Macaca mulatta: one gene and its partner. The protein of the gene in region 1 binds, or shares a complex with, the protein of each later gene. Links are inferred from orthologs where the notes say so. Each region holds a gene or a part of one and is shown in the gene's direction. Other genes may lie near its edges.

What was found.
Region 2: the proteins of EDAR (region 1) and EDA are in contact, whole or in part, in a crystal structure (PDB 7X9G), measured with the Homo sapiens proteins. The link is inferred for Macaca mulatta from reciprocal best matches to the Homo sapiens genes EDAR and EDA. Residues at the interface, in NP_071731.1 of Homo sapiens: Glu55, Pro56, Tyr57, Leu58, Lys78, Ile86, Arg88, Arg89, His90, Asp92, Glu94, Gly95, Phe97, Val134; in NP_001390.1 of Homo sapiens: Gln256, Ser258, Ala259, Gln261, Asp265, Asp273, Arg289, Tyr310, Tyr311, Lys340, Thr341, Tyr343, Ser370.

Annotation. Positions count from the first base shown.
Region 1 is NC_133418.1:19,479,229-19,495,864, reverse strand, and holds the end of EDAR (tumor necrosis factor receptor superfamily member EDAR), read left to right. Parts: intron 1-274; coding exon 275-335; intron 336-1,537; exon of another isoform or gene 1,538-1,925; coding exon of another isoform or gene 1,926-1,993; intron 1,994-9,384; coding exon 9,385-9,707; 3' UTR 9,708-12,136; downstream 12,137-16,636. UniProt on the Homo sapiens protein: Receptor for EDA isoform A1, but not for EDA isoform A2. Mediates the activation of NF-kappa-B and JNK. May promote caspase-independent cell death.
Region 2 is NC_133426.1:76,549,951-76,565,686, forward strand, and holds the end of EDA (ectodysplasin-A), read left to right. Parts: intron 1-400; coding exon 401-580; intron 581-2,040; coding exon 2,041-2,075; intron 2,076-3,005; coding exon 3,006-3,057; intron 3,058-5,956; coding exon 5,957-6,087; intron 6,088-7,975; coding exon 7,976-8,227; 3' UTR 8,228-12,095; downstream 12,096-15,736. Other genes in the region: AWAT2 (acyl-CoA wax alcohol acyltransferase 2), read right to left, coding at 14,387-14,541, 14,765-14,964, 15,613-15,736. UniProt on the Homo sapiens protein: Cytokine which is involved in epithelial-mesenchymal signaling during morphogenesis of ectodermal organs. Functions as a ligand activating the DEATH-domain containing receptors EDAR and EDA2R. May also play a role in cell adhesion.

The DNA of each region.
Region 1 (16,636 bases):
ACAGACTGATGCCGGGGTATCCCCAAGTATCTTCTGAGTCTGACCACCCAGCTGAGCCTAAGATGTTTGAGTGGGAAGACCTGAAGGAGACCCTCCTCCCTGTGTGTTGGGGCTGGGGTGCTGACACGGGGCTGGGGTGCTGACACGGGGGCTGGGTGCAGCGTCTCTGGTGTCAGGCGTAGCTGCTGCCTGTCCCTGCTGACATGGAGGATTTGCCTCCTCACTACTGTTGCCCCTCTCTGGAGGTGAAAATTCTCCTGACTCTTTTTTACAGATTCAAAGCCGGAGGAAAAAGATCTTGGATGTGTATGCCAACGTGTGTGGAGTCGTGGAAGGTAAGCTGAGAGAGGTGGTGTAGACATAAGAGCTGTGGTCCTGTGAGGGGAACTCAGGGAAGTCGCCCATCCAGTTGCCGCACTCTGGTCAGAACGGCCACTGGAACCGACTTCAGGTGTGGAGAAACAGAATCTGGCTCCCAGATATTAGAAGGCATCTCCCAGTGCTTCCATGGGCCTTCCCCTCATGGTGGGAGACAGCCCGGTGCAGGCACCCACTACAGGGACACGCAGGGTCGGGGAGCAGCAGCCATGGAGTCTTGGACCTCCCGTGTCCCCAGTGCCCATCTCCACACTGGCATCATCATCTGGGAAACATAATCAGTCACTTAGTCACTTATCCTAGACTTAGCCGCCCTCTCCCTGCCCTCGAGCATCCTCGATGTCCGAAGGCCCTGGGAGCCTCCAGCCTCCCCTCCCAGCGGCCTTCCGAGCCAAGTCAGTGTCTCCCCGTAACCTGGGCTTGGGTGTGGGCAGGTAAAAGGCAACAGGACAGGGCCGTCAGTGCTGCAATCTGAAATCATAATCCTCAGCTTCCAGTTCCTGCAAAATCCTCTTTCTAAATTACCTTCTTATTAACCCCAAAGATAAACCCCTCGTGGCTGAGGTCAGGAGTTTTCCTGCTGCTGGCCTCGCTGGCCTCCCTCCTCGGACTCCTTGATCCCGGGCAGCGGGAGTGGAGCCTGGTGCATGCCAGGCAGCTTGCCAATGCTCCCAATACCCCTCCTCCCACCCCCACACCCCATCGTAGGCCAAGTGCAGCCCCCTGTTCCCTGGCAGGCTTTCTGGTCCAGTGCTTTGTTGGCCAGAAATAACTATACTGTGGGTGAGCTCCAGGGCCAAGAATTCTTGGCTGCCGCTGAAACATGGCATCTCTCCATAAACACATGCCCCAGGTCAGCCTGCCTGATCTCACCTGGCATGGCCTGGGGCTGTCAGCTGCCCAGGGGAGGATGGTCTAGGACTCACCTTCCATCCACCAGCAAGCTCTTCTCTGTTCCAAAAAATATTGAGTTCACACCCCGGGACAGGGGTTTTCAAACCTCAGCCAGGGCTGAGAACTTGTGCTCCGTGCCCAGCCCTGATGAATATTAGAGTCACCTGCAGGTCTTAACAGCATCTCTGCCCATCCAGCCCACCCAATCTGCCCCAACACCCTGATGTAATTAGTCAGGGGTGAATCCCAGGCATCTGCATCTCTGTTTTTTGTTTTGTTTTGTTTTGTTTTTAATTAAACTTTTTATTTTGAGATACTTCTTACCATGCAGTGGTAAGAGAGAATACAGAGAGATCCTGCAAGTCCTTTACCCAGTTTCTCCTCATGATAACATCTTACAAAACTATACACAGAAGTCACAACCAGGACACTGATATCGACACAGTGAAGCTAGACTCAGCTCCCATACAAAAACTCCTCGTGTTGTCCTTTTACAGCCACAGCCAATTCCCACCCATCTCACCCTCACCTAGGCCCCTGGAAACCAGTAATCTGTTCTCCATTCCTACAGTTTTGTCATTTCAAGAGTGTTATAAAAGCGGAATCACATAGTATGTAACCATTGGTGAATGGCCTTTTTCACTCAGCATAATTCACTGGAGGTCCAGCCGGGTTGTTGCATGTATCAATCGTCCATTCCTCTCTCTTGCTGAGTAGTAATCTGTGGCATAAACAGACCAGAGCTGATTTAACCATTCACTTGCTGAAGGACATCAGGGTTATTGCCACTTAAGGACTATTATGAACAAAGGTGCTATAAATATTTGTGTATAGGTTTTCGTGTGGACATCAGTCGTGATTTATCCAGGATAAAGACCCAGGAGTACATTTGTTGGCTTGTATGATAGTTGCGTGGTTGGTTTTTTTAAAAAACTGCCAAACTGTTTTCCAAAGTTGTTGTACCATTTTACATTCCTACGAGCAGTGTGTGAATGGTCTAGTTTCTCCATATCCTTGCCAGCATTTGGTGGTGTTACTATGTTTTATTTTAGCTATTCTGAGAAGTGTGTTATGATATCTTAGTGTGGTCTTAATTTGCATGTTCCTATTGTTTGAATATCCTTTCTTGTGTTTATTTTTCATCTGTATGTCCTCTTCAGTAAAATGAATGTTTCTTCATGTCTTTGCCCATTTTTCAATGGCATTATATGATTTTTTGCTGTTGAGTTTTGAGGGTTTTTAACAATATATTCTAGACACTAGTCCTATGATGGATATGTGGTTTTGTAAATGTTTTCTCTATTCTATAGCTAGTTTAACTTATCTTTTCAGTCTCTTAACAGGGTCTTTCACAGAATGATGCTTTAAATTTTTATGAGTCAAATTTATGAAACTAATTATAAAGTTTCCCTTTTATGGATGGTGCTTTTGGTGTCAAATCTAAGCTCTCTCTTGCCTAGTCCTAGATCCCAGAGATTTGCTCCCACAATTTTTTCTAGAAGTTTTATAGCTTAATGTTTTATATTTAAGTCCACATAGTTTTTATGTTTTGCATTTAAGTTCACATAGTTCACATTTTGCAGTTAAGTTTGAGTTGATTCTTATAGAAGATATGAAATTGGATCAAAGTTCTTTTTTTGTCTATGGATATCCAATTGCTCCAGCACTGTTTTTTTTTTTTTTTTTTTGAAAAAGTATCTTTCCTCCATTGAATTGCTTTTCAAACTTTGTCAAAAATCAGTTTGGTATATTTGTATGGGTCTATTTTCTGGGGTCACTGTTCTGTTGTATTGATCTACATGTCTGTCCCTCTTATAATACCACACATTCTTGATTCTTATATAAGTTATATAATAACTTATATAAGTCTTGAAATCAAATAGACTGCTCCCACTTTCTTCTTTCAAAAATCTTTTAGCTATTCTAGTTCCTTTGTCTTTCTATATAAGTTTTAGAATAGTCTTCCCTATATGTACAAAATGCCTTGCTGGGATTTTAATGAGTTGCAACAAAACTGTATATCAATTGGGAAGATTTGACATCTTTATTATGTTGAATCTTCTGAGCCATGGACATGGTATATCTCTTCATTTATTTAGCACAACTTTAAATTTTTTTATCTACATTGTGTAGTTTCCAAAAGACAAGTTCTATGCATATTTTGCTAGATTTACATCATAAGTATATCGTTTATTTTTTGAGCAGCTGTAAATGATAATTTAAATTCAGTAGCCATACATTCATTGTTAGCTATATAGAAATACAATTGATTTTTGTATGTTTATCATGTATCCTGTGACCTTGCTGAATTCACTTATAAGATCTGGGAGTCTTCTTGTAGATTCCTTGGGATTTTCTATATAGATAATCACATCTGCAAATGGGACCGTTTTATTTCTTCCTTTCCAATGTGTATACCTTTTCCTTCCTTTTCTCATTTTATTGCACTGGCTACACCTTCCAGCGCTACAGTGAATGTAAGTGATGAAGCAGAAGCAGAAATCCTTGCCTCATTTCTGATCTTAAAAGCATTCCATTTTTCACCATTAAGTATAATATTAGCTCTAGGCTTTTTATAAATTGTTGACATTAACTTTTTGAGTGGATTACAGTAGTTTTTAAATATTGAACCAGCCTTGCCTCCCATACCTGATGTGGTACAATTCTTTTTTATATGGTTGCATTCCATTTGCTAATATTTTGTTAAGGATTTTGCATTTATATTCATGAGAGATATTGGTCTGTGGTTTGTGGTTTGTTTTTTGTCTTTGTCTGGTTTTGGTATCCAGTTTATATTACCCTCACAGAGTAAGTTTTCTATGTCTAGAAAATATAGTGTAGAATTGCTATTAATTATTTCTTAAACATTTTGTAGAATTCTTCAGTGAAATCATGTGGACCTAAAGATTTATTTTGGGGAGTTTTTGTTTGTTTGTTTTTTGAGATGGAGTCTTGCTCTGTCACCCAGGTTGGAGTGCAGTGGCACGATCCTGGTTCACTGCAACCTCTGCCTCCCAAGTTCAAGCGATTCTACTGCCTCAGCCTCCCAAGTAGCTGGGATTACAGGCTCGTGCCACCACAGCCCAGCTAATTTTTTTTTTTGAGATGGAGTCTCACCCTGTCCCAGGCTGGCAACCTCCACCTCCCAGGTTCAAGTGATTCTCCTGCCTCAGCCTCCTGAGTAGCTAGGATTACATGTATATGCTACCATGCCCAGCTAATTTCTGTATTTTTTAGTAGAGATGGGGTTTCACCATGTTGGTCAGGCTGGTCTTGAATTCCTGACCGTGCGGTCCACCTGCTTTGGTCTCCCAAAATGCTGGGATTACAGGCGTGAGCCACCATGCCTGGCCCTAATTTTTGTATTTTAGTAGAAACAGGGTTTCACCATCTTGGCCAGAGTGGTCTTGAACTCCTGACCTCAAGCAACATAACCACCTCGGCCTCTCAAAGTGCTGGGATTACAGGCGTGAGCCACCGCGTTTGGCTGAAGATTTTTACAGTTACACATTCAGCTTCCTTAATAGTTATAAGTCTGTTCAAATGATCTGTTTTACATTGGGTAAGTTGTGATAGTTTATGTTTTTTGAGGAACTGTTTATTTTCACCTGTCAAATTTATATGTATAGAGTTAAAGTTGCATAGTTTTCCCTTATTATCTGTTTGATATCTATGGTGTCTGTAGTAACATCTCCTGCTTCTTTCTTGATATTGGTAATTTGTGTCTTGTCTATTTTTTTCCTTGTCAGTTATATTGATCTTTTCAAATAACTGTTTCTTTTCATATTGCTCTCTTTTACTTTACTGTTTTCAATTTCAGTGATTACTGCTCTTATTTCTAAATTACTTATTTCCTTCTATGTACATTTGGTTTATTTTGTTAATCTTTTTCTAAGTGCTTGAGATGGGAGCTTAGATTATTAAGAGATTTCCTCCTTTGTGTTTCTGCTATAAATTTTCCTCTCAGTACTACTTCAGCTGTGTCTCACAAATACTGACATCTGGTATTTTTATTTTCATTCATTTTTAAATTTTCTTTGAGACTTCCTCTTTGACCTGTGGATTATTTAGAAGACTGTTGTCTAGTTTTCAAATGTGTAAAGATTTTTCTGTTATTGATTTAAATTCTAATTATATTGTGGTAGGGGAATATATTTTGTATAGTTTCAATTCTTTTAATTTGTTGAGGTGTAAGGCCCATAATTATAAAGAATGTGTATTCTGCTGTTGTTGAATGGAGTGTTCTATAAATGTTGATTAGATCTTGTTGGTTGATGATGTTGGTAAGTTCTATATTCTTGCTGATTTTTTTCTAATTGTTCTATCATTTACTGAGGGAGGAATGTTAAAGTTTTCAACTATAATTGTGGGCTTATCTCTTCTTTCAGGTCTATCAGTTTTTGTTTCACATATTTTGGAGCTCTGTTGTTTGGTGCATATTCATTTAGGATTGCTATGTCTTCTTGGATTGACCCTTTTATCATTATTAAATGTCACTTTCTGGTAATTTTTTTCCTCTGAAGTCTACTTTAACTGATGTTATAGCCATTCTGCCTTCCTTTTATTAAAGTTTGCATGATATGTATTTTTCCATCCTTTTACTTCCAACCAGCCTCTCTCATTATATTGAAGTGAGTTTCTTGTAGGCAGCATATAACTGAGTATATTTTAAAATCTCCTCTACCAAGTTCTGCCTTTTAGGTTTTTGTTTGTTTGTCTGTTTTTTATGGAGTTTCCGCTCCTGTTGCCCAGGCTGGAGTGCAATGGTGTGATCTTGGCTCACTGCAACCTCCGCTTCCCAGTTTCAAGCAATTCTCCTGCCTCAGCCTTTCAAGTAGCTGGGATCACAGGCATGCACCACCACACCAGCTAATTTTGTATATTTAGTAGAAACAGGGTTTCACCATGTTGGCCAGGCAGGTCTCAAACTCCTGACCTCAGCTGATCCACCTGCCTTGGCCTCCCAAAGTGCTGGTATTACAGGCATAAGCCACCACACCCAGCCTTTAGTTGGTATTTAAACCATTGACATTAAATGTAGTCATTATTATGTTAGGGCTTAATTAAGTCTGCTATTTTATATTTTGTTTACTATTTGTTGTCTCTGTTTTTCATTTCTGTGTTTTTGTATTCCTGCTTTTCTGTGGGTCACTTGAACATATTTCAGAATTTGATTTTGGTGTTTTTTGAGTGATATGTTTTGATTTTATCTTTTTCCATAGTTATTTTAGTAGTTTGTCTAGAGATTGCATTTACACATACAACTTATCAGTCTACTGGTGTTATTAGTATTTTTTTTTATTTTTATTTTTGAGATGGAGTCTTGCTCTGTTGCCCAGGTTGGAGAGCAGTGGCGCAATCTCAGCTCACTGCAACCTCCGCCTCCCAGGTTCAAGTGATTCTCCTGCCTCAGCCTTCCGAGTAGCTGGGATTACAGCTGTGCACCACCATGCCAACCAGTTGTGTTTTTAGTAGAGACAGGGTTTCACCATGTTGGCCGGGCTGGTCTCGAACTCCTGACCTCAGGTGAACTGCCCACCTCGGCCTCCCAAAGTCCTTGGTTTACAGGTGTGAGCCACTGTGTCTGGCCTTCCTGGTGTTATTATTTTGCCAGTTTGAATGAAGTATAAAAACTTTACCTTTCTCTTTGTCCCTTTACCTTCCCTGTTTATAGTAGTTGTAAATATTTCCTCTACATATATTTAGAAAAACATAAATTGCTTCAACTGCCTAACATAATTCAGAAAACTTAAAAAGGGAAGGAAAGTCTATTTTATTTCCCTGAATTTTTGCTCACTATGTTCTTTTCTGTCTTTTCTGATGTCTCAAGTTTCATTCTTTTATTATTTCCTTTCTGTTTACAGAATTTCCTTTTGCTTCTTTTAGGGTGGTCTGCTGGTGAAAAATTCTTAATTTTTCTTTGGCTTGGAATGTCTTGATATTCTCATGTCATCCTGAAGGATATTTTCACTCAGCTCACTGCAACCTGATATGCAACTCTGGGTTGAAAGTTCTCTTCCTTCAGTACTTGGAAATACTGTGCTACTTCTCTCTGGTCTCCAGGTTTCTGATTATAAATTTACTGTCATTCTAATTGTTTTCTCTCTCTAGGTCAGGCGTTGTTTTTCTTTGGCTGTTTCTAAGACTTCGTCTTTAGTTTTCAGAAGTTCATTTATGATGTATCTTGACATGAATATATTTGGGTTTATCCTGTTTGGGATTTGCTTAGCTTCTTGAATCTGTAGACTTGTATCTCTTTACAAATTTGGGGAGTTTTAAGCCATCATTTATTTGAGTACTTTAGTCCCACTCTCTTCTCCTCTCCTTCTGAAACTTCATGACGCAAATGTTAGCTCTTTTGTTATAACCCCACAGTTCCCTAAGGCTCTGTGTTTTTCAGTTTATTTTCTCTGATTGAGTAATTTCCACTGCTAGCTTCCATTATCCATCTCACTGATTCTTTCCTCTGTCTTTACTCTGCCATTGAGCACATCCACTGAGCTTTTTATTGTGGTTATTGTATTTTTTTAGTTCTAATATTTTCATTTCTTTTATACATTTTGTATATTTTCGCTGAGGATTTCTATTTTTTTCTATTTTCTATTTCTGTTTTTCTATTATTGCATTTGTTTTAAGCATGTTCATAATTGCTTGTTGAAGCACTTTTATTATGGCTTCTTTAAAACCTTTTTCAGATTATCTAACATCTGTCATCTCAGTGTTAGCATCTATTGTTTTTCTTTTTTTACTCATTTGACATCTTCCTGGTTCTTGGTATGATGAGTGAATTCACTTTGAAACCTGTGTAGTTTTATGTCCTGATATGAAACTCTGGGTCTTATTTAAGCCTTCCATTTTAGCTGGCTCCTTTCGATAGGCAGCCCTGTGGCAGGAGAATGAGGGTGCTGTCTTGCTACTGTTAGGTGAAGGTAGACATCCAAATTCCCCACTCAACCTTCACTAACACCCAAGGGACTCCTTTTTACTGCTTTTCGGGTTTGGGAGTATGGCTCCTGACATGGTCACCACAGGGGCAGAGGAGTTGTTACCAGCTGGTTGATGAGAAAGCCCCATCTCTCTACATGGCCTTTCCTGACACCACCTGGCACAGTGTTACAGCTTGGTGAGGGTGGAAGTCTAGGCTCCCCACTCAGTCTTTGCTACCCTGGATGGAGTGGGGACACAGTTTTTCTGTGGTGTTTGGCTGGAATAGAGCAATTATTGTCTAAATGTTTTATGCTTGCTAGGCTGCTCTTTTCCTAGTGCTCTGACTAGAGAGGGAAGACTTTTGTTGGGGCTGTTTTTGTCTGTGGTTGCTATTATTTCTGGATTTTTGGACTTTTCTGCCCCATGTCTGGAATTTATGAGGCAAAAGAAAACCCAGGGAACTCACCACCATCACCATCCTTAGGTATCGAGGTCCCTAGTTGGTCCATCTTCTTTTCTCCACTTTTCAGAGACTTCTTGTATTTGTTTTATACGGAATGTTCAGGGCTTTTAGCTGCACTTAGTGGGAGGATTAGGGAAAATTATATCTACTCATCTTCCAGAAGCAGCCATATCAAGTTTTTAAATGCTCCTAGGTGAGTCTAATGTACCGTGAACCCCAAAAACCATCAGACCACTGAGTTGGCAGTGACTTGGTTCAGATAACCCCAATCTGGGGCTATCATTGAGAGCACCCATTACAAAGTTGACTACTATTCCCTAAAGAGACACGATACTGTCTCTTTGACCCCCTCCTCAGCCCAGCCCCATGGGAGACAGGGTTACCCAACTAAGGATAACTTGTCTTGAAGTCTTTGAGAATTGCTAAAAGTGGTCATCAGGGAATTATTATCATGGTCAATAGAGCAGTCATTTTCCTAGTGGGGAAGGGGCTATTACCGGGGTTAGGGTACATGCACAGCCCTCTCTTGTGGCTGGCAGTGTTCTAGGTGTCGTTTGCCTTAAGTTATGCGTTTGTTTTAGGTGGCTTTCTGCATGCTTTGTTTTACAATTTTTTAAATGTTTTTTTCAATAATTTTTATTTCATTTAAATAATTTTTCACAGTGTTGACCTTCTATTGACTGCGACTTGCAACATCTAACTGTGGCCATTGGTGTCTGCAGGTCTTAGCCCCACGGAGCTGCCATTTGATTGCCTCGAGAAAACTAGCCGAATGCTCAGCTCCACGTACAACTCTGAGAAGGCTGTTGTGAAAACGTGGCGCCACCTCGCCGAGAGCTTCGGCCTGAAGAGGGATGAGATTGGGGGCATGACAGACGGCATGCAGCTCTTCGACCGCATCAGCACGGCAGGTTACAGCATCCCTGAGCTGCTCACAAAACTGGTACAGATTGAGCGGCTGGATGCTGTGGAGTCCTTGTGTGCAGACATACTGGAGTGGGCGGGGGTTGTGCCACCTGCTTCCCAGCCACATGCTGCATCCTGAAAAGCATGCCTGTGGGTTGTCCTCCCAGGACAAGCCAAGGATCAATGAGGGCTCTGGAGCTGTGAGTGGTGCCAAAAGACTGCCAAGAATCAAGGCTTTTGTGATGTCACCATATGCCTTAGGATGTTCAAGGAGCCAGATGAAATAAGGCCTGTCTTCCAATTTAACCAAAGATAAAGGACTAGAGCTGGGCTACTTTCAGATGCTCGCCTGTACTTCACCAGGCAGAGTAAATATCCACTCACTCATAGAGCGAGCCCACCAGCCCACCATTAACTCACTGAACAATGAGACAATGTTGAGGACTCAAAGGAACCAAACCCCGTGGGACTGACAGAAGTGAAGAATCTGGTCCCTGTCTTTAAGGAGTTTGCACTCCAGTAGAAGACAGAAGGAACGTATGTTTACAAACCACTTCACTGGAAGACATCAAACAAGCTAATGAAGGGGCACTTAGAAAATGTAATAGAAGTTCTACGCGGGAGATGACTCCCTACTGGGATGATGAAGGATGGCATCCTAGTGAAGAAGCAGCTCAAACATTTTGGTAAAATGGCTACAAAATGCAAACACCCTGCTCCAGGTATTATTTCAGGTTTAGTACAAGTCTGTTAACACCCTATGTGGTTTCATTAGGATAACTTTACCTATCCTTGAGGTCATCCATATTCTTACAGGCCTTCCAGTCAATAACGGAAGAGCTCACTCTATACAAAACCAATATGCAAGGCATGTGTTTGTCCAAGCAATTGGATGTGTGCAGTAGCCAGTTCCATTTACTGCATGAATCTTTGGCCTGGGTACCCTGTGGTTTGCATTACATGTGAATGGCCTTCCACTCTCAGCCTTAGGCAGATTTGACCTTTTAGGGGCAGCAATGCTCAAGGACACAGCAATTTAAATTATAACGTGTCAGGCTGTGTTTTCACTTCAAACATATATGAGTAGTCAACTGTAATTAGAGAAATGATGACTTCCTAAGAGCTCAGCCACGCATAATTCTAGATTTCAAGAGCTCATCTGAGACTCGTAGATTAGCCTCATGGCATGAGAGTTTCAGACTCAGCCTTCTGAGCCAGTCAGGGGAAGTGGAGTCCTGCAGTGCAAATGAGGGCCTGGGCTTGGAGTCCAGGGAGCTGGCTTCTAGTGCCACCTTGGGTCTTGTCTTTTCCTCTCTCAACCTCAGTTTCTCTTCTGCAAATGAGATGTTAGCCAGTGATTCTATAATCGGGGCAGGTAGGGTTCAGGTGAGCAAAAAGAAAGTGGAGCTATAGGAAATGCCAGGCCTTTGAGGTGCTCTATGGAAGTGAATACAGTGTGGTTTGTCCGTTTAAATGGGAATTAAAACAGAAAAACTCAGAATTGGCATTTTCACAGTAACTGCAATGGTTTGACATAACATTTATAGGCAGAAAGCTAATAATCTGGCATTGTTCTTGGCAGACTCTCGTACTATCCCTGTAACTGCCAAGAGCTCAGGAGGCAGGCTAGTGATCACACCAGGGGTTAATTTAGAGTTCACTGCTGAGCTCCCTAATGGCAGGTCTGACTGTGTTTATTACTAAATTAAAACAAAGTTTCTGACTTATAAAGCGAGGTTGTAAAAATGACAAGTTGCATGACTGAAAAAATGCTTTGGGGGGAAAATCAGTCATATCTTTAACACCAATAAGCAATTTCCCACCAACGAATGTAGTACATACTGTGAGAGGATCATAATGAGGTCCTGAATATTTAATATCATCATTTACTGTGTCTGTTTGCTGCTGTTTTTCAGAACCTATTTGGTTTATCTTGCAAGCTAAATACTCCACGGCAGAGCTTAATTATCCTTTTAATTCCTCTTTGAAATCCTGTGGTGCCCCCTTCCCCCTGCATTGTGATAATGATGATGAGTCTCCCTTTAATTAGACTGCAAATGTCACTTGTGATGAGTGTGCCGTTCCAGGATAACAGCTTGTACCCTCCTCAGAATGTTTTCAGTGAAGGAGTAGGGTGGCTGTTCTCTGCTCCTGGTGCTTTGGCCTCATTTCACGCTCTTGGAATTCTGGGACTGTAAGGCCAGCCAGTGTCAGCTCATGTTCCACTGGCTCTCCACCTGCCATTTTTAGGGAGCTATTCCTTATATAGTTACACATTCTCTTGTCATTTACTTATTTGGAAACATGGGATTTACTCTGACAAGCTTTAGCCTTTGTTATGGGATTCAGAACAATGAGATCATAATAATTCTCACTGAACAAAGCTGGGACTCCATCCTGCCATTTTTGTGTGGAGATATTACTTTGCAATACTTTAAAACATTTAGAAAACACCCCAGGGTAGGTCTGTGGCCCTTAGTGAAGTCTTAATTGTCAATATTTTTGTCTAACTCTGTATATATATAACTTATTATATTTTATAATCTCAATAAACACACTAATAAGATTTATAGACTGCTGTAATATGAGCTCTTTGTATTTGGGGTGGTGGGTCGGTGGGTGAGTGCAGAAGGTTCTGATTGCTCTGTTCCTGGTTATTGCACTATGTGTGATGAGACTGTAGGATTGCAACCAGCTATAAACACAGTGCCTAAAATGTTATGGCCTGGGCCATTCACTAGAGTCCACTGCTCTAGTGAACGTCTGGTGTTCTAGAAGTAGAACGCTAGAACTTCTAGTGTAGAAGCAAACATTACAAGGAGATCATGTAAAAACCACCTGGAGCATTGTTTTCCAAGTTGCTGTTATTAGCACATAAGGCATTGTATCACTTATCTATTTCTGTGTAACAAACTATCTTAAAATTCAATGGCTTAAAGCTACAGGCATTTATTATCATAGCTTGGGGGTTAGTAGAGGGTCCGTCAGCTGACTTAGGTTGGGCTCAGTTGAATGTGGGTCAACTGGGGCCTCTGCCTGTTGGAATACCTTAACTGGGGCAGCTCTACTCCATCATCTCTGTCAACCTAGATAACAGAGAGAGGCTCTCTAAAAGAAAATGATGATATGTATTGGGGAATAGGGCATTACAATGGGAATACATGTGCCATAGTAAACTACGTGTGTTTTTGAAGAGGTAAAGGAAGACAACAGTTCTTAAAGGAAAAATAAGAAGGATTACATAATTATTTTGAGACAATTATCCTTGGCTGCAAGGATCAACAATAAGGGTGGTGCCAGTCCAAGGCTGGACAGGGAGTTGTTGGGCAGAGGTCCTTGCAGGAGGCTTTGTGTGTGTTTAAGATTGTGATGGCTTTTGCGCAAGGTTTTGGTTTTTTCAGAGTCTTGTGATGGCTCTTGTCATCAGTCATTTATCTAGGAGAACCCTTCTTTCATGGCCTTCCGTGGCTCTATTTGTCAGGGTTGTTTTTTGTTTTTGTTTTTGGCACAAGTGACTCCTTTATAATACTGACAACTTTCACATTTCCCCCATTTGATCAAGATCTTTATCAGAGAGCATCCCCGATGAGCCATCCCGTAGTTAGGTTTTGATTATTCCTTGGTGCCAGGATAGACCTGTCCTAGGTGGCTGGTCTGGTCTCACACTGGAGGGATTTCATGGTGACTAGGAGTCAGTGTCAAAACCCTTTAGCCATGTTTGAGCAAAAGGGAAGTTTGGAGAGACTGGCTCTCAGGCTAGGTCTACTTGAAGTCTATTGTTAAGTTCGATTTTGTCTGTTCTGTAAACATTTGCTATCATCTCAAAATGCAGGGCCCGTATTATTCTGTTAGAAGGTGTACTTCTACTGAGATTTGACAAGTAACAGATAGGAAGTTTAAAAAACGAAAATGTAAAGGAAAAATAAAATCAATAGTAATATGAGAATTCCAGTTTGCATAATGGTTTTGAGCCATGAATGTAGGTTTAAAGGCAAACAAATGAATAAATGAAATAACCGTGAGGAATTGGGTGACCCTTCTTGTAACCTTGTGGCCTTTTTCTTTATTTTGTGAACATGGGTCTCAACTTTCCCAGAGGAATTTACCTAGGTACAGCATGTAGTATTAGAAATAGCACAGACAAAGATGGCTACCAGAAGCATTTCATGTCAGCCTCTTCCACTTAGAACAAACATAGTGTGTAGACAGTCACACTTTGAATACATTATCCAATAGAGAACACTGGAATTCAACAGAGAAGTGGCAGGAAACACCAAAAGCAGGGAAGGAGAAGGGAGACAAGCAGCCTGCCTAGCCAGGATCAACTAGGAGCTGGGACTGACTTCCCAATTCCGGGAAAGGGTGAATGAGAGACTTCCAGTGGCCCAGATCCCCACCATGAAATCATGTAATCCTGGCCATGAGACCCCCTCAACCCTCCCAACCACTGAAGCTAACATAGGGAGCTGCCGGGAGACCGTGGGATGGAACTGCTCCAAAGATGGAGCTTGCACTGGATCCCACACTTGTCTGAGACCTAAGCAACTACAGCAAGACACCATTTTCAAACCTAGCCGTGGGTAGACTGCATGCTGTCCTGGGGCCCAGAGGCACTGGGACTGAGGTGTTACAGAAACCCAGATTGCTGCTGCTGGGAATAGGGAGTAAGCTGTGAGCACTCCCACAGCCAGGGCTAAGAAACAAACAAGGAAAGGGTTGCAGTTGCTGATGCCAGGAAGTGGGTGCTGCTGGGACGGAGATTAGGATGCTGAAAGGGTGTAAGCTGCCGCTGGGACTTGCTCACCAGCTGAAATGGGGCCTCCGCAGCCAGGGTGGGAGCGTGAGACAGGCATGGGCTAACACTGTCAAGGCTGGAAAGCAAACCCCACTGGGACTGTGGGAAGGACATACATTCCCACTTACCAGCCCAGGCTGTGACCACAGAGCACAGCCACACTCTGTTCAGTCGTAGCACTTCAGCACAGCTGCTAGCATCTCTTACCTGAGCACTCTGCCTGGGGCCTGAGGATCACCCTACCCTGGCCCCCAATGGTGGTTCTTGCTCTCACCAAGAGGCCTGAGCACAAACCTGCACAGCCCAGCTTTGCCCCCCTCTTTGAGACAGGACACATATCCTGGGGTCCTGGGGACTGTGCAAGGCAATCCACCACCTTGGGTACCTGAGCACTCTTTCTGGGGCCTATGGTTGGGCCTAAACTCCCAGCCACCATCACGTCACCTGGCACCTCCTTGCAAGTGCCACCTGAAGGCCTAGAGATTGTCCCACCCAGCCCATCACAGCAACCACCAACATCAATGCACACCACTTGGGACCCACACAATCATCCTGCTCCTGCTGCTGCCATCGCTCATGCTATGCCAGCTGCCCAAAGGCCCCAAAACCCACCTACACACCCAGTCCATTGCTGCCACTACCAGCAACTGAACAAGCCACCTGGAGGCCCAGAAATCAGCCTGCCAAATAACTGCCAACAGAGATGCCAGCATATACAGCCCTGGGCACAAATGGGCACATTTAGCCCATTGCTGTCATCACTAGGGCCTGAAGACTGGCCCATCTGGCATCCCAATCCCTAGTACAACTTCACCACAGCCTCCACTAGTAACTTCACCCTAACCCAGTGGGGAAATCATGGATGCCACCAACACTATTTACAGCCTACAAAATTATACAGAGACTACATTACTACATGCATCCAGAATCAAAGCCAAAGTACCCTACTAAACCAAAACCATAGATATATCTTTAGGAAAAAATCCTCTTCTATGAAAGAAAATTTCAAAAACAGGAAGAAGCAACAGTTACACCAGATGTGCAGAGATCCACTTAAGGACAAATGAAACATGAAAAATTAAGGAAATGTGATGCCTCTAAACGAACATCAGAATTCTCAAGCAATACATCTTAATCAAAAAGAAATTTTTGAAATCTCATATAAAAAATTTGAAATATTGATTTTAAAGGAGCTCAGTGATATACAAAAGAACTCTGAAAAACAATACAAAGAAATCAGGAAAACAATACGGGATATGAATGAAAAATTTACCAAGGAGATAGGTTTTTTTTTTTTAAAGAACCAAATAGAAATTCCAGAACCGAAGAATTCATTGAAGGAAGTATAAAATACATTTGAAAACTTCAAAAACAGATTAGATAAGGGAGAATAAAGAATCTCAGAACTTGAAGACAGAATATTTTAAATAATCCAGTCAGACAAAAAGAAAAAGAATAAAACAAAATGAGTAAAGCCTTCATGACACTTGGGAAAACACAAAGTGATCAAATATTTGAGTTATTAATATCCCTGAGACTAAAGAGACAAAGAAAATATTAGAAAATTTAATTAATAAAATAATAGATGAAAACTTCCTAAGTCTAGAGATTTAGACATTGAAATACAGGAGACTCACTGATCTCCAGGAATATACATTCTGCAAGCGTTTTCTCCATGACACACTATAGTCCAACTGTCTAAAGTCAAAGATAAAGGGTGAATCCTAAAAAGAGCTAGCATCCTAAAAAGAAAAGCATACGGTTACCTGAAAACCCCTGACCGAGTGCGGTGGCTCATGCCTGTAATCCTGACACTTTGGGAGGCTCAGATGGGTAATCACTCATACTCAGGAGTACAAGACCAGCCTGAGCAACATGGCAAAACCCCATCTCTACCAAAAATACAAAAAATTAGCCAGGCATGGTGGCTTGTGCCTGTGGTCCCAGCTACTAAGGAGGCTGAGATGGGAGGATTGCTTGAGCCTGGGAGGCAGAGGCTGCAGTAAGCCCATATCATGTCACTGTACTGCACTCTGGCCTAGGTGACAGAGTGAAACCCCAGTGAGACCCCATCTGAAAAAAAAGAAAGAAAGACAACCCCATCAGCCTAAGAGTGAGTTTCTCAGCAGAAACCTTATAGGCCAGAAGAGAATGGTATGATATACTCAAAGTGCTGAAAGAAAAAAAATGTCAGCCAAGAATACTATATCCAGCAAAATTATCCTTCATAAATGAAAAAGAAGTAGTCTTTCCTGGACAAGCAAATGCTGAGG
Region 2 (15,736 bases), on another chromosome or scaffold:
TGACTTTGTGTCCTCAGAAGTCTGTAGAACTCTTGACAGTCCACTCATCCAGGAAATAACTACAAATGCAACACTGAGGCCAGGCATGGTGGCTTGCGCCTGTAATCCCAGCACTTTGGGAGGCCAAGGCAGGCAGATCACCCGAAGTCAGGAGTTCGAGACCAGCCTGGCCAACATGGTGAAACCCCATCTCTACTAAAAATACAAAAATTAGCTAGACACGGTGGCACGTGCCTGTAACCCAGTTACTCCAGAGGCTGAGGCAGGAGAATCGCTTGAACCCGGGAGGTGGAGGTTGCAGTGAGCCGACATAGCACCACTGAACTCCAGCCTGGGTAACAGAGCAGAACTCCATCTCAAAAAAAAAAAAAAAAAAGTAACACTGAACCCTATTTTTCAGGAAAGAAAGCAGGACCTCCTGGACCCAATGGCCCTCCAGGACCCCCAGGACCTCCAGGACCCCAGGGACCCCCAGGAATTCCAGGGATTCCTGGAATTCCAGGAACAACGGTTATGGGACCACCTGGTCCTCCAGGTCCTCCTGGTCCTCAAGGACCCCCTGGCCTCCAGGGACCTTCTGGTGAGTTCCCCTGTCTTTCCACCCCACCAGGTGCCTTACAAGTACTTTAGGAGAGCAAGAGTGGGTGATCCTGAGAGCAGTTTCAAACGGTGGAGATGGGGTTGGTGTGCAATGAGGGATGCAGCTCTCCAAGACCAGTGTAAAACTAGGAATTGAACAAGCCAGTAGGGCCTGACCTGCTCTAGCTTCTTACATCTACCAACCTGTCAAGGACAGGCCACCTGTTCTTACCCCATCTCAACCCTTCTATCACAAGTCCTCCCTGACTCTTGGCCTCCCTGTAGTGGACCAGTAAAATTCATATGAGCCAGAGACAGAGGCCCTGGTGGTTCATTGGAGTTCCAGTGGGGAATAGATTTAATCTTCTCTGATTCCCTGCATCTAGCTCCACATGCTGATGTTTGCATAGAAACAGGCTATGGAGTGGAAAGTTGAGGACTGAACAAAATGACAAGCCCTAGGACAGTTTCATCTTATGAAGTCTGAAGTGCTTTTCCCATAGCAAGTAGTCACTAATGGTCAAGAAGTTGGAAACTTAAGAGTCACTCAGTCTGTGGATAAAGCAAACCCAGGCACCAAGGCTGTCCCATCCAGGAACCAAGTGCTTCTTGCACTAGATCCTTACCCTACCACACTTGCCATTCAAATGTCATTTCACCCCTTTGCATTTTTCTCCTTCAGATGCCTGAAGGGCATCTGAAAGGTATGAATGCAGATCCAAACCTGCATTGACAAGAGTCAGACTGCCTGGGCTTATGTCAGTTGTTATTTCTTCCCCCTGCTCCCCACTCCCCCGCCCTGTATCTTGGGGCTTTAAAGAAATGGACCCTTACAGCTGATTTCTCCAGGGGCAAGAATTCTGCAGCAGGATTCAGATTCTTTAACTTGTACTTCACACAGGGCTAAGCAGTGTTACCATGACCACAAGAGATGGAGTTGGGGATTTTTTTTCATCCAATCATTCCTTAAATATTGAGCGCTTTCTGTATACAAAGAGACATATTGATACATGGTCCTTTTTCTCATAGAGGTTATCTCCTAGAGGAAAAGAGAACAAAGAAACAAGATATTTACAAACAGCAGTGGGCTCTATGAAGAAAATTGATAGAAAGGGAGCGAAAGGCTAGAGAAGCCAATGCCATTGTCTCAGGGTCACACAGTGACAGGAATGCCCTCTCATTGTTCTCCATGGGTGCCTGGTGGGGCTTGCCTTGGGCTAATATTGGCCAGAGGCAATACTCAGAAGTTTTCCTGCTGGGTGCTGGGCCCACTGAAGATGAAGGTCGGGGCAGGAAACAGAAGAGGTGCACTCTGACTCTTCCTCCAGCTCTAAGCCCTGGAGAATAAAGCTCAGACAGGGCTGGCTGCAGGGAGCACGGCTCACCACCACTAGCTGCTCAGGTGAGGGGAAAAGGAAGTCAAAAGATTATGCCCTCTGATAGGCCTGTCCTATTTTGCAGGTGCTGCTGATAAAGCTGGAACTCGAGAAAACCAGGTTGGCTGGGGATTGCTCTCTTCTTGGGTAGGAAGGAAAGCCACAGGCTAGAGCCACCTTTAAATTAGCTTCTTATTAGATTTCCTGAGGCTTTATTTCATGAGAACACCCTGGAGATTCTGAGGGTTTTCACTCACAGCCCCCTCCCATCTCTATGAATAGAAAAGCTTTGCCCCAGGGCATGTTTTTAGCTAAGGAAAGGGTGTCTTGCCAGGATCATTTTTCCTCATTCCACAGGAGACCCCAGGGTCACCATAGCCAGGCCCAGTAGTCAGCTGAAATAAGCTGCCAGTCAGACCTATTCACCTGAGCCTCCAACTCCCCAGCCACCCCAGACACCTTGTCGGCTCTCAGACCACCTGGGATCCGGACCTGAAGAGTTGAAGAGTATGTCCTTGAAAAACAGCCAGCCAGCTCCAGGCCCAGCCTAGCCTGGGCGTCTGCCTTAATGGCCTGAAGAGCTCCTCCCAGTCTTTGAGCTTCCTAATCTGTCTCTATTGGCAGGTTCTGCTGCCTTGCCTTGTCTCATCTCAGCCTCCCTCGCCACAGCTGTGTGGCCACAGTGATAAATCTACACAGCTGCACAGTGCTTGACGGCTTGCAGGGCAATTTTATATCCATCACCTCATTTGATCTTTAGACATCCCTGTGAGAGAGGCCAGACATTCTTATAATCCCCATTTTACAGGTAGGGAAATGAGGCTCAGAGGCATTACATTTGGTTGAGGTCACATAGCTAGCAAGCGGTAGAGCTACAAAATCATACTACCCTCTAGTAGAAACGTAGTCAGTAACATCCCAAGAGAGGGGAGAGGGATCAGAATTGGATTACAATAGAAGACTAGAAACCAGGATGGAAACATGGGACCGGTGACTGAGCAAGCAGCCATTACTCATAGTGACTACTCTCTATCCTTCTCATCCTGCCAGCCAGCTGTGGTGCATCTACAGGGCCAAGGGTCAGCAATTCAAGTCAAGAATGGTAAGAATCAAAATAGGCTCTCTCCCAAAGAGGAGCTTCTCCCCTTCCTCCTCCCCAACCTCCAAATAATCACCCAGCCTAGTTCCTCCCAGGGCCCTGAGGTACCCTTGGCATACGAAGTCATTCTTTGCTCCATCATGCCCTCTACTGGCTGTCCTGAGCAATTGCTAGCATCAAGACCAGTTGCTACACCCAAATTGCATTTAGAATCACTGATTGCGGAGCTGAAAGGGGACTTGAGACATCATCTAGCCCAGGCATTCTCAGGCGATGGAGTTTATATCAGAGCCACCACGGAGATATGTGTAGTTAGATTAATATTTTCACAATACAAATTATAGAAAGTAAAACAATGTAAAATTAAATTCTTCTTGTCTGATGGATCTACGCAGATGGGCAGACGGGCTGCTTCTCTCAGGGCAAGTGGGGCATGTTGGAATCTCCAGGGGGTTGAAGATGCTAGTGTCTATCAAAAGGGAGAATGTGTTTAATGGGTTTAAGAAGCACTGATTTATCGTAATCCCCGCATTTAACAGATGAGGAAACAGAGTCCCAGAGAGATTGGATAATACATTAATAAATCATGCTGCCTCATTTTGTATGATACTTTAGAGTTTTCAGCATGCTTTCTTTGTCTTTAATTTCATCCAGTCCTCACAACCACCCTATGAGGTAGGTATGAGCTCCTTCTTACAAAGACAGAAAGTGAAGTTCAGAGAGGTTAATTAACTTTCCCAATATTTCTTAGTCAAGTTCGTTTAGGAGCCAGGATTCAAAACTACATCTTTCTGACTCTTTCCTCTCCCCTATGCTACTTCAGTGATATGTATGTACACTCCACTGAATGATAAGGTTCATTTTCTTCCCCCAAAGAGACATGAACATTCATGAAAGAACAGCACTTTGGAATAATGTCCAGTCCCCAGAGTGCACAAAGCCTAAAATGCGTGAACCCCCAGGAGCCTTGGGAAGCAGCAAGCTAACCAAAATGCTAGATGCTTACAGAGCTTGGAGTGGAAGGGAGGGGTTTTGAGTACAGAAACGGTAAAGGAAGGTTAAAAAAAAAAAAACAGCTACCTGGGGACAGTTTCTAAGAACTCAGTCAGTCCTGAACTGGCTGTACTGAGTTTCCTTAATGACTGTATTTAGTTACTTCCCTGACTGCCACCTCCATGTCTGACTTAGTAGCCTCAGAAGTGTAAATAGGAAGAGAATGGCACCAAAACCCAATTGGTCCTGCTGGGGACCGCAAGGCCCTGAGTGGGCCATGATCCCCACCTGTCCAGGGAGGCCAGAGACAGGCCAAAATAGATTTGTTTGGGTATCTAGACAGATAGTGTTTCTTCTGTGCCAGCAGCCACTGATTTTGCTCCCACTGCCACACAGTAGGATTGTTTCCAGCCCCTCTGGGCCAATCCTCAGAAGTGGTCTGTGCTGACCCTTAGTACTACCAGAAGAAGTGATGGGGGTGGGGTGCAGTGGCTCACGCCTGTAATCCCAGCACTTTGGGAGGCCGAGGGGAGCAGATCACTTGAGGCCAAAATTTGAGACCAGCCTGGCCAACATGGTGAAACTCCGTCTCCACAAAAAATACAAAAATTAGCTGGGCATAGTGGCACGCACCTGTAATTCCAGCTGCTCGGGAGGCTGAGACAGGAGGATCACTTGAACCCGGGAGGTGGAGGTCGCAGTGAGCCAAGATCACACCACTGCACTCCAGCCTTGGTGACAGAGTGCGTGACAGTCCCTCTCAAAAAAAAAAAAGAAGAAGAAGAAGAAGAAGTGATGGGGTCAGGGATTGGAGGACGTCATGCAGAGTGGTCCACTGATGGGACAGAGCCAGGGCAGTTCCTCCTAACTCCCAGCCCGTCTACTTACCACCTCAAGGAAAGATGGTCACCTTTTCCAGAAAACCTGTTTCCTCATCCCTCAGAGAGACAGGCCTACTGAAACTGACCAAAGATGGACTTACAAAATATAATTTCTTGGGTGCAGGATGGATGACTTAGAAGGGAAAAGGCTCCCTGGGCTTGGATGTCCTCCTCTCATGGTGGGAGGGAACATTCCTCTTTCTGCAGGATGGAAAGAGAAGATTTTCCTCCACCCTCACACGCTGGCTTCCACTGTCCAAAGGAATGCGACTGCCCCTCCACCCCTGCCTGGGGTGGAGCTGAGACAGATGTTTTGCCAAGGGTGCCTCGGCTCCTATCCTCCCGGCTGGCTCTGTTGCAGCCTGCCAGTCTATCTTTCACTCTCATAAGGATCCCTCTCACCTATGGGGCCCTGGTACTGGTGGTCAGTAGCCCCAGCTGCCGTGGAGTCTGAATCATCTCTAATCCCTAAGGTTCTCCAGATAGACAGTGGGCTGAGTGGTTTCCTCCCAGGGAGGCTTTCCAGAAAGCTGTGGGTGTGGAAGAACCATAAAAAAAGAATCTCTTAAGGAGAAAGAGAAAACCCATGAACCTATGAGACAAGAGGAATTCAGGAGCTCTGACTGGGAAAGTAAAATTGAATAATAAGACCTAGCCTGCCACTCAGTGTCTGAATTTTGCCTGTGCAGGCCCCATAACAACAAAGAAAATAGGGCAGCATGCCCACTCTCATCCTCCTCCGGCAAATTCCAGCTAGAAGGTAATGGTTAAAGACCCTTCCAGATGCAAGGGTCAAGAAAGGAAGTATAAAGACAGACAGGAGCCCAGGAGCCCTGAAGCAGGCCTGGCAGCTGCTTTACAAACAGAACAGCTTCTCTGCTTTCAAATGCTCTTCTTAAAGTTTGGCCTTCTAGGCTACCCTGGTTGCACTGGGATAGGGTTGGGGGTCGTGAACTCCTTGGTATTTATTTTCTGTTGCCTCGATTATTCTGACATGTACTGAGTGACTGCCCTTCTCTCATACTGAGATCTTTCAGGTGGAGTGCTCAATGACTGGTCTCGCATCACTATGAACCCCAAGGTGTTTAAGCTACATCCCCGCAGCGGGGAGCTGGAGGTACTGGTGGACGGCACCTACTTCATCTATAGTCAGGTAGAAGTGAGTACGGTCTTAGGCCTAACTCTTCTTATATCCAGAATGCAGATCCGGTGCAGACCACATAGGGGCACTGTGGAGCCAGCCAAGACCATCCAATGGCTAACTTCCTGCTTTGGGTGAGGGGGTGGGGGGACCGCACTGGGAGGGAGTTGAAAGAAGGAAAGAGAGAGGAGGCCAGCTTGTTTTGTTTTGTTTTGTTTTGTTTTGTTTTGTTTTGTTTTGTTTTGTTTTGTTTTGTTTTTCCCTAGCCAAATATTATTGAAAAACTGTGAAAAAGGCCCCTCCTACATTCTGCCATCTGATTCCCTCCTGCAGGGCCTCAGGCCCCTGTTTACCATCCGAGCTGTTTGGCTCCACTGCCAAACTTGAACTTGGTCTCAGTATATTCTTTGAAAGTCAGTTCCAGGGTTACTGAGAACCCCTCCCCTCAACACTGCTGGCTCGGGCGTTATAATGAATAGTGCTCCTGCAGACTTTCTTTCTACCTCAAAAAGATTTCTGACTGTCTTTCCTTCCTCTTTCTCCCATTTGTTTCCCTATCTTTCTATTCCTCTATTCTTGCCTCCTTCCTGCTGTTATTCTCCCAGCCCTTTCTCCCTCTGCTTTTGTCCTCTTCCTGCCCTGGGCCCGCTCCCCAAGTCTGCCAGTGTCCATCTACTTCCATTCCCCGATTGTTTGCCTCCATGGGGATGGCTCCTTGGAGATAGAGGAAGATGAGCCATGAGGTTGGGACTTTTGTGGGGTGGGCAGCAAGCAGGCAGGTGGGCAGAAGGACTATGGAACCAACACATGGGTGTCACAGGAGAGCGGCCAGCAAAGGTGGGCTAACAAGCATTTGCTAGGCACACTGAGCACCCCGGTGTAGCTTGGGTCCTGATCCATATGTGGCACCCAAATATGCTGTTCCCAGCTGAAGAGCTGATGGAGGGAGTGACCTTTCATAAAAAGATTTACAGTGATATCTGAGAGTCCCAACACCCATGGGGCACATGGGCATAACCCTGATGTCCTATGAGCCAAGCTCCACGTGGTGGGGGCAGTGGGGGCGGTGGTGGGGGAGGGCAGATCACAACTTGGTGTGAGGTATGATGGATAAGGGTAGTGAAGGATGGAAAAATTAATTTTCTGAGCCTAGGAGAGAATTGAGAGTGGCCCATGCAGGCTGGGAAAATCCCCATGACATTAGGCCACTGAGCATAAGTTAGTGCCTCCTTCTGGCCACAAAGTCAGGGGCCTGGGCTTTTCCAAATTCTTTGTCTTGTTTGCGGTAGCTAGCTCTCCATCTCTCTGGACCTGTTTCCTCAATCATCAAATGGGAGGCTCAAGGGGTACTGTGAATCAGTGAGGGGAGTCCAGGCACAGGGGAGGGGTGGTGCAAGCTGAATAAGCTTCTGTTAAGGAGCTGAAGAAATCGCAAGTTGTTATATGACCCCTCTGGGGAATCAGTGACTTCTAAGTTTCTCCACAAATAGTCCGCGGGGCTCAAGAGTGGAAGTCGGTTTGTGTCTACGGCACTGTGTGCACACCTGCTATGTGCAGGGCACTCTGCTTTGTGTCAGAGCTGGGGCAGGGGCGGGTGGGGGTACAGGGACACGGTGAAGCTGCAAATAGGGCATGGTTCTTAGCCTTACAGAGTTTACGACAGGTGTGCTGTTGTAAGAAAGGTTTGCTCAACCAGCTGAGCCCCATGGACTAGGGGAAGGGCAATGCATCCGCCTGTCACCCTGCCTTTCCTGTTGGCCAGCTAGCACGCCTTCACATGGCACTGCCCCATCCATGGGGTATGCTGGCAGCTCATCTGAGAAGATTCTGTCAATTCACCACAGGGAGGGCCCCCCACCCTCTCTTTCCTCTCTTCCCCAATCCCTTCTTGTTGCCTCTCACTCAGGTATACTACATCAACTTCACTGACTTTGCCAGCTATGAGGTGGTGGTGGATGAGAAGCCCTTCCTGCAGTGCACACGCAGCATCGAGACGGGCAAGACCAACTACAACACTTGCTATACCGCAGGCGTCTGCCTCCTCAAAGCCCGGCAGAAGATCGCCGTCAAGATGGTGCACGCTGACATCTCCATCAACATGAGCAAGCACACCACCTTCTTTGGGGCCATCAGGCTGGGTGAAGCCCCTGCATCCTAGATTCCCCCCATTTTGCCTCTGTCCGTGCCCCTTCCCTGGGTTTGGGAGCCAGGACTCCCAGAACCTCTAAGTGCTGCTGTGGAGTGAGGTATATTGGTGTTGCAGCCACAGAGAGAAATGCCTCAGTGCTATTTATTCCCCAGTGACTCCAGGGTGACAAGGCCTGCTTGACTTTCCAGAATGACCTTGAGTTAACAGGACAGTTGATGGAGCCCCAGGGTTTACATGAAGCAGAACCTTCTTTGGTTCCATGTTGACTGGCTTATGGCATGACTCTTCAACCCCGAGGTCCCTGTTGTCAGATCTATTGTTTGTTGCACTAAAATGAGGATCCAGGGCAGCAGGCCAGAGAGAGCAGAGGTGCACTCCAGACTCTGGGGGTGGACATCTGACCCCAAGGGGCTGCTGCTCCTCTCTTGGGTAGGGTGGTGGTGGGGGCGGAGTGGGAAGGTAGCATTGCAGCCTGAGAAGGCCAGAGAGGGAAAAGGCAGGTGCTTTTGGCAAGAGACCATGAGAGAAACCTGCCAAGAGAGCATCCTTGGCAGTGGGGATGTTCTTTCTGCTCTATACTGTGGCCTGCAGGAGGGTCGGAGTGTTCTTCCCACTCCGGCTGACAGCTACATTGTGGCAGCTTGCTGGGCTTTGGGAAGGGGAAGTTTGCTCTGCCTTGGAACAATCACAGGGAATGGCCACAAACCTGCCCGCATAAGACCCTGAATCCGTACTTGGGTCACACGTCTCTCATTTTATTTACAGCTGTGCTCCACACTCAGAAAACTCCCTGGGGTCACCTAGTTGCCCCCATTCCCAGCCTGACTAGAACTCCTGCCTTCTTTCTCCACAGAGCCTACCTCTGTCTGAGACAGGTGCCTAACCTGGGACCTGTGCTCATGTGAGTCTGGGATATTCTTTAGCTTACCTGGGCACAAAGAGAATTTTTCGTTTATTAAACAGTACAAATGTTTTTCATCCATTCCTAATCAATTCTGTCTGGAGACAAAGGGTTGGACTGGATGACCTCCAGAAGTCCCTTCAATTTCTAGTACTTGTGACTCTTAGCAGGTGGCCCTCACCACAGCCTTCTAAATTCCCAAACCCTAGGCTGCTCCTGGGCATTAGCAAGGCAGAGCCTTTTTACCTGGCCTAGAAAGGGCAAGGGGTGAGGATAGGACAGAGGGATTTTGTTCCAGTTTGCTGCAACACAAGTGGACATTAGGCCAGGCCTTACCTGAAAGGCCAGCTGCTGATGCCATACTGACCCAGTCTTTCTTCACTCTGGCTTCAAAAAGCCATAGCAGAGCATGGTCACCACAGATGCTCATGCTGCTCCTGTGAAGCCAGACTCAGGAGAAGCCAGTGTCTAGGCACTGAGCAGGGATCTGCCCCCTAGTTCAGGTCCAAATGCACCTTCCCCTAAACCCCAAGCTTCCCACCAGATCGTGTGGTAGGACCCTCGAGGGCCTTACTTCAAAGTGCCTTGGCTCAGCCTGGCTTCTGAGTGCTAGGTCCAGCCCAAACCTGGGAAGGCCAGCCTTGTACAGTCTGCTCCTCTTGTTTCTGAAATATGTTTCCTTTTCAGGAGATGGGGAATAAGTTCCTCCAGGCAGCTGAAATTCATCGAGAACAGAGGGTACTTATTTCTCAGCTGTGCCTTCCCTTTCTAAGCAACCACACTGCTTGGCCCTTCAAGGGTCAGGGTGAGAGGTGATGGGCTAGGCCTCCATTGTCTGGTTGCTAACAACAGCCTTGCAACCGAAGGTGAGGTGAACTCCAGGCATGTGTCTGTCCCTAACTCCTATAAAGTGCCTTGGACAGTCTGCAGTTGTAGCAGAAACCAACAAGAACCTCTCCTTCATATTTGGAAAATAATTTCTCCTTTATTATCTCTTTTGAGGAAGGCAAGGCTGATAATATGACAAACATCATTGTTTAGATGAGGCTTAGTGAGGTAGCACTCTCAGAGCGTTTTGACCAGTTTAAGCCGCAGACCTGGAGCTTCAGCCAGGTCTGACTCCAAAGTTGTTCCATTATACCACAGCACTGTGTGGAATTTGAGGTCTAGAGAGAACGAATAAAAGTGGTAATTTGGAACTGAAATCCTTGAGGGCTCTAGGGAGAAGCCCAGAGATGCCCGTTTTCATTCCTCGACGGTAATACCTGTCCTCTTGGCTGCCAGGGGCTCTGTGGCAAAAGGAGTCAGGCATTCCTTTGGGAAGCAGCCATCAACCTTAGAGCTCTTGTGTTCAGAAGAATCTTTCTGGCACCTTGTTGAAGCAGCAGGCCTCTGGGACCCACAGAGCTGGTGGCCTTTATGTTCTTTCACCCATCCTAGGAACCAGCCAACCATCATGTGTGGAGCCCCTACTGTGGGCAAGGTCCTCCTTCCATTACCCTACAGACAGCTTACAGGAGCCAGCTTGCTTCCCACAACTACTAGTGTGACTCCTTATCTCTTTCCACCATACCTTAGAGACTTTGATACTACCAGGGTCTCTCAGGGATGGAGGGAAGACCTGAAAGAGGACTGGTTCTGAGGCCAGAAAGATGTGAGGAGAGAGGAGGAAAAGTCTTCCTAATTGTGCCCCTAAAGGGCATCCTGATACCATTCTATTCTCCGGACATGGAGGGGATGATAAAGGAAATAAGATCTCCACTGGACCCTTGATTCATTCTGAACCCTCCAAAGGAACTCCAGGGGGCAAGGGATGATGAGGGAAGCAATAGGTAGCTGGGGAGCCCTATTGCTGCTAAGTCATTGGCGGCAAAGTGACAAAACAATTTACTGATGAGAGAATGTGCAAATAGATGTACAGTTTGGAATTATGCTGGTGTGAGTTTGCCAGAGGACCAATGCTAGCATGGAGAATGGGACAAGGACATTTGTGGGCAAGCAGATGACAGAGGTTTGAAGGAGAATTGCATGGCAGGAGTCTCTGCCAGCTACTTGGGCTTTAACAGCCAAGCTGGCACAAAAGACAGCTGGTGGAGGCTGCTCGGCTACTGGTTACCTGGAGAAGTAGTATTTGCCTATTTCCCGCTTCGTCCATCCTGAGCCAAATTTCTTTTACTGAACAGGAAAGAGCTAGGAACCCTGGAGGTAAACAAAGACTTTGATCCATGTATGAGCGTGTGTGTTTATGTAACTTCCTGTGGACGCAAATAGATTCAGAGAAATTTAGAGCTAAAAAGGCCCTTAGAGGGAATCTAGCCCAACCTAGATTCCACCCTGCTACTTATGTAGAAACTGAGGCCCAGAGAGGGAAGATGACCTGCCCCAAGTGGTGAACAAGCCCCAACCTCTAGAGTCAGCAGACTGAGGGGATAAAGCAGTTCCTGTCCCACATGGCCATCTTCTTTCTTCCACCCACAAACTCCAGGATGGAAGTACTTGGCCCTTTCAGGAGCCTGGCCAGGCAGGGAGTAGCTGCAGCCTTCATCAGAACTCTTCCTCCTCTCAAGGCATTCTCCCAGCTCTAGCTTCTGGACTGGAAAGCAGGAGACTGGCCCAGTACCAGCAAGTCCTTAGGCTACTGTAATGCTGCCTCAGGACCCATCCCTGCCTGGAGGCTTCTCTAGGCCCTGTGAGCACAAAGAATAAAGCTGATTTTTGTCTTTTAATCCATTTCAGGTCTCTCTCCAGGAGGGCTCGGGGTGTGTCATTTCTATATTCCTCCAGCTCTGATATTAGGGGGTGGGCTTTGTTGTGAGAATGGCCTGGAGCAGGCCCAATGCTGCTTTTGGGGGTCAGCATCCAGTGTGAGATACTGTGTATATAAACTATATATAATGTATATAAACTGGGATGTAAGTTTGTGTAAATTAATGGTTTATTCTTTGCAAATAAAGCGCTTTCCCTATCTGTTCTTGATATCCGCGTGAGCACTTCCTACATGTTAAGTGCTTCTTTGCAAATGACGCCACACATGAGCTAGGGGAAGGACCAAGGCACCCATTTCAAAGGCAGCAACAGAAGGAAGATGGTCTGAATTTCCTGTTGGAACATCCCACATCCTCTCTGTGCCTCAGACCACACTCCCACATCCCCATTACCTTAGGTCAGAAGAAGAAGAATTGTCTTGGGCCACAAATAAAATACACTAACACTAATGATAGCTGATGAACTAAAAAAAAAAAAAAAAAAAAAGTCACAGAAAATTCTCATACTGTTTTAAGAAAGTTTATGAATTTGTGTTGGGCCCCATTCAAAGCCGTCCTGGCCCGCATGCCACAGGGTAGACAAGCTTGCCTTAGGTCTTCTGTGACCACATGACAAGCAGGCTAGATGTCCTGCCAAAAGGAACATTGTCCGGGGGCAGCAATACACAGAACTGACTCTCAGCTTAAGAATGTGGCATCTACAAAATACACTTCAGGCCTGGGCCCCAAATAGCTTGGGTAGACCCAGCCTCCAGCTCATTTTGCATATGAGGAAACCAACACTTAACGAATTTAAGTCACTCACCCAGAGTTACCCAACTAGTAAGTGTGTCAGCCTGGTCTGATTCCTTCCCAGCCAAGGCTGCTGTTACCTGGAAAAGTAGTATTTGCCTATTTTGCCCTCCATCCATCCTGAGCTAAGATCAATAGGGAAGAGGCTCACAGGAAGAAGACCCGATAGCAGCTCAAGAACACGTAGCTCAAGAGAGGTCTGGCGCTTTTCACAATCCCAGCACCTTTCGCCCCGGGCCCCCACCAATCTTTTGGCTTCCCCGGGCCCACCCCCATGCCATCGTATAGGTGGAGCAATGTGCACACAGTAGACCACGACAAATCTGCAATGGCCAGGTATGCATGGGCTGGGTGTTGCAGCCCAGGCTGGTCCTCTAGCCACCTTAGAGTTTTTTTGTTTTGTTTTGTTTTTTTTAAGGAAACCAGTCACAGGAAAGCTGCAGACTGTTTAAAAACACTTTATGGAAGCTCAGGGAAAATGTAATCTCTGGCACAACAAGTGACAAAGACAGCAGAAAAGCAGAAGCATGTCTCTGGCCACTGTATACAAATCATCACATGAGGCAGGCACCCAGGGTAGAGGCAGCAGCTCACACTGCAGTAAACACGCAGGATGTTGTAGACCAAACTGACGAACGTAATGCAGGTAAATCACTGGACCAAATGGCACCCACCCAAGAGGAATGGAATGAGAGGGCTGTGAGCCAAATGTTGTAACCTGTCATTGCAACAGCCATTAGACCAAGAGTCTGAGAGACTTGCCATTCAGAAGGAGAGTTCTTTATGGCTGCTAAAAGCTAGGCGCCTCATTTCCATCCTGAGCAGGCTGGCTGACTCTCAAACAAAGGGCAGAATTATAGGGCCACGCAAGTATAGGCAAGTTGCTGAGGGAACAACAGAGAAAATTAGGCCTGAGTCCAACCTATTCTGTTATAGCTTTATGAGGCGGAAACTGAGTGCGGGCTAGTGGGTAGCAGAGGGTATTTAGGGCATTGTTTGCTCAGGGACAGGAAATGAGGAAGATGGTTGGAAAAGAAAATGGTTCACGTAGCTCTCCAGTGTATAAAGTTCAATCACATCCAATATTGTTTCATCTTCCCAACAGCCTTTGAGGTAAGCAGGGGACAGATTGTTAGTCTCATTTTATAGACGAAGAAAGGAGGCTCAGAGATGACTGATTGCCCCACAGTCACGTGGCTTGAAGTTGGTGGAGCTTGAACTCAAAGCCCACTGGCTCTGCAGGTCCCAGTCCTACTCCTGTAGGAAGTAGGACTCAATGCCAGGAGATGGGGCTCAATGCCAGGAGATGGGGCTGTTTGACAGCTAGAGAAGGAGAGACATGCGCAGGGATCCCAGAGCCCTCGAAACAGAGGAGTGGGTGCACACGCAGTATCAGAACATGGGCTTTTTATTTTGTCCATTGTTTTCCTCAATGCTGGCACCAAAGTGCCTTCAGGGCACCTCTCCCCTAGGCTCTTCCCTGTTTCTTGGGACTCTGTCTCCTGTAGCTGTGAAGAAAGGGCAGAAAAGAGCTGGAAGGAAAAAGAAATGAAGTGGGAAAAGGAGTGCAGAAAACAAGCAAATGAACAGGCCCTCCCCATAAGGAGGACTGGTCAAATCAGGAGCAGGAGGCCCATAGGTGACTCTTGTCCTCCTGTTCTCACTGGGTCCATACCTTCCAGCCAGGCTGAAGGCTGCTGGGGATGTCTGTCAAATTATCTCCAGCTCCTGGGTCTCTGAGATACCAAACTTGGTCTTATGCTGGTCAAACAGTTTACGTAGGGCATCAATATAGAGTGCGTGATATTTAGCCACGATCTCCTGGCTTGGATTCTCAATCTTGGGCATTGGTAGAGGCTCCCCGACTGCCAGGGGAGACAATGAAGGAAAAGAGAAAAGCATCAGAATAGTTCATTCCTCAGAATAGGCCCCAGGCCTCAAGCCCAGACTATCCCCATCCTCACCTCAAAAAGCTGCCACTCATCCTAGCCAGCCTCCCTGCCTCTGAGCAGAGTCAGAGCTGAGGTTCAGCCTCAGAGCTAGATCCTGTGTCCTAGACTGAGGCTGCCAGCAGAAAGGCCCACTCACCAATGGTGGTTACAGGCCGACTATAGGGCAGAAGGCCCCAGGATTTCTTGGTGAAGCCACGTCCATAGAAAGCACAGGGGTAGATGTGTATCATACTCCGGAACCACTTCTGGAAGCGGTTGACAAAGCCACCAGGTGTGAAAATGTGCTGATCATAGAGGTCCGTCTCCCCAAAGGCATACGCAGGTATTAGAGCCACCCTGCAGAGCAAAAGCATATCCTGTGAAGCCCAGAAAGGTAGGGACTTTGTCAAATGCCAGACACGCTGACGGTCCGTGATCCCTGGGTCTGCCTACAGGCTTCCCAGACCTCAGTCCAGCTGTGCCTAGGTCCAAGTTGGGAGCTCCATGGCCTACCCCTGGCTGCCTGTGGGGGCAAAGCAGTAGTAAGCTAAAGGAGGAGGCAAGCTCAGACCCTCCTGGGAACCCCTGGGTCTGAAACGGTGGAAGGTAAGACCCAAGGGCCATGCCAGTTGATTTTCTTCACTTTAACACAAGCTAAGCTTGGCTCTCTCTGAGACAGAGTTGTTGCCAGTCCCCTTGTATAGAGGGACCGGCCCAGATGAGGGCTGGCCCTCTGCCCTTTCTACTTCAGCAGAAACGCCTCCAGGACCTGGTCTCAGCTCTTCAACCCAGAGGTGGCTTTCCTCCTCCCTCTTTTTTTTTTTTTAACTTATTTATTTTTTTAATTGACAAAAAAAATTATCTTCCTGATGACCATAGTTCATAAGAATGTATTGTATACTTCCTTCTCTCTCTGTGGATGTCCTTTCCTCAAAACCCCATCTTCTTCTTTCCCTGCAACACTTTTGGATCCCTTCCCCCAGCCTGGACTGGAGCTGTCCTTACCCATGCTGAAGGGCCGTGCGCACAAAACCAGACCGGTTCTTCAAGACCAGGGTGGAAGAGCCTGGCAGGCTGTATCTGCACTCAGCCAGTCCACCAACCACCACAATGATCATGTTGCCTGTGC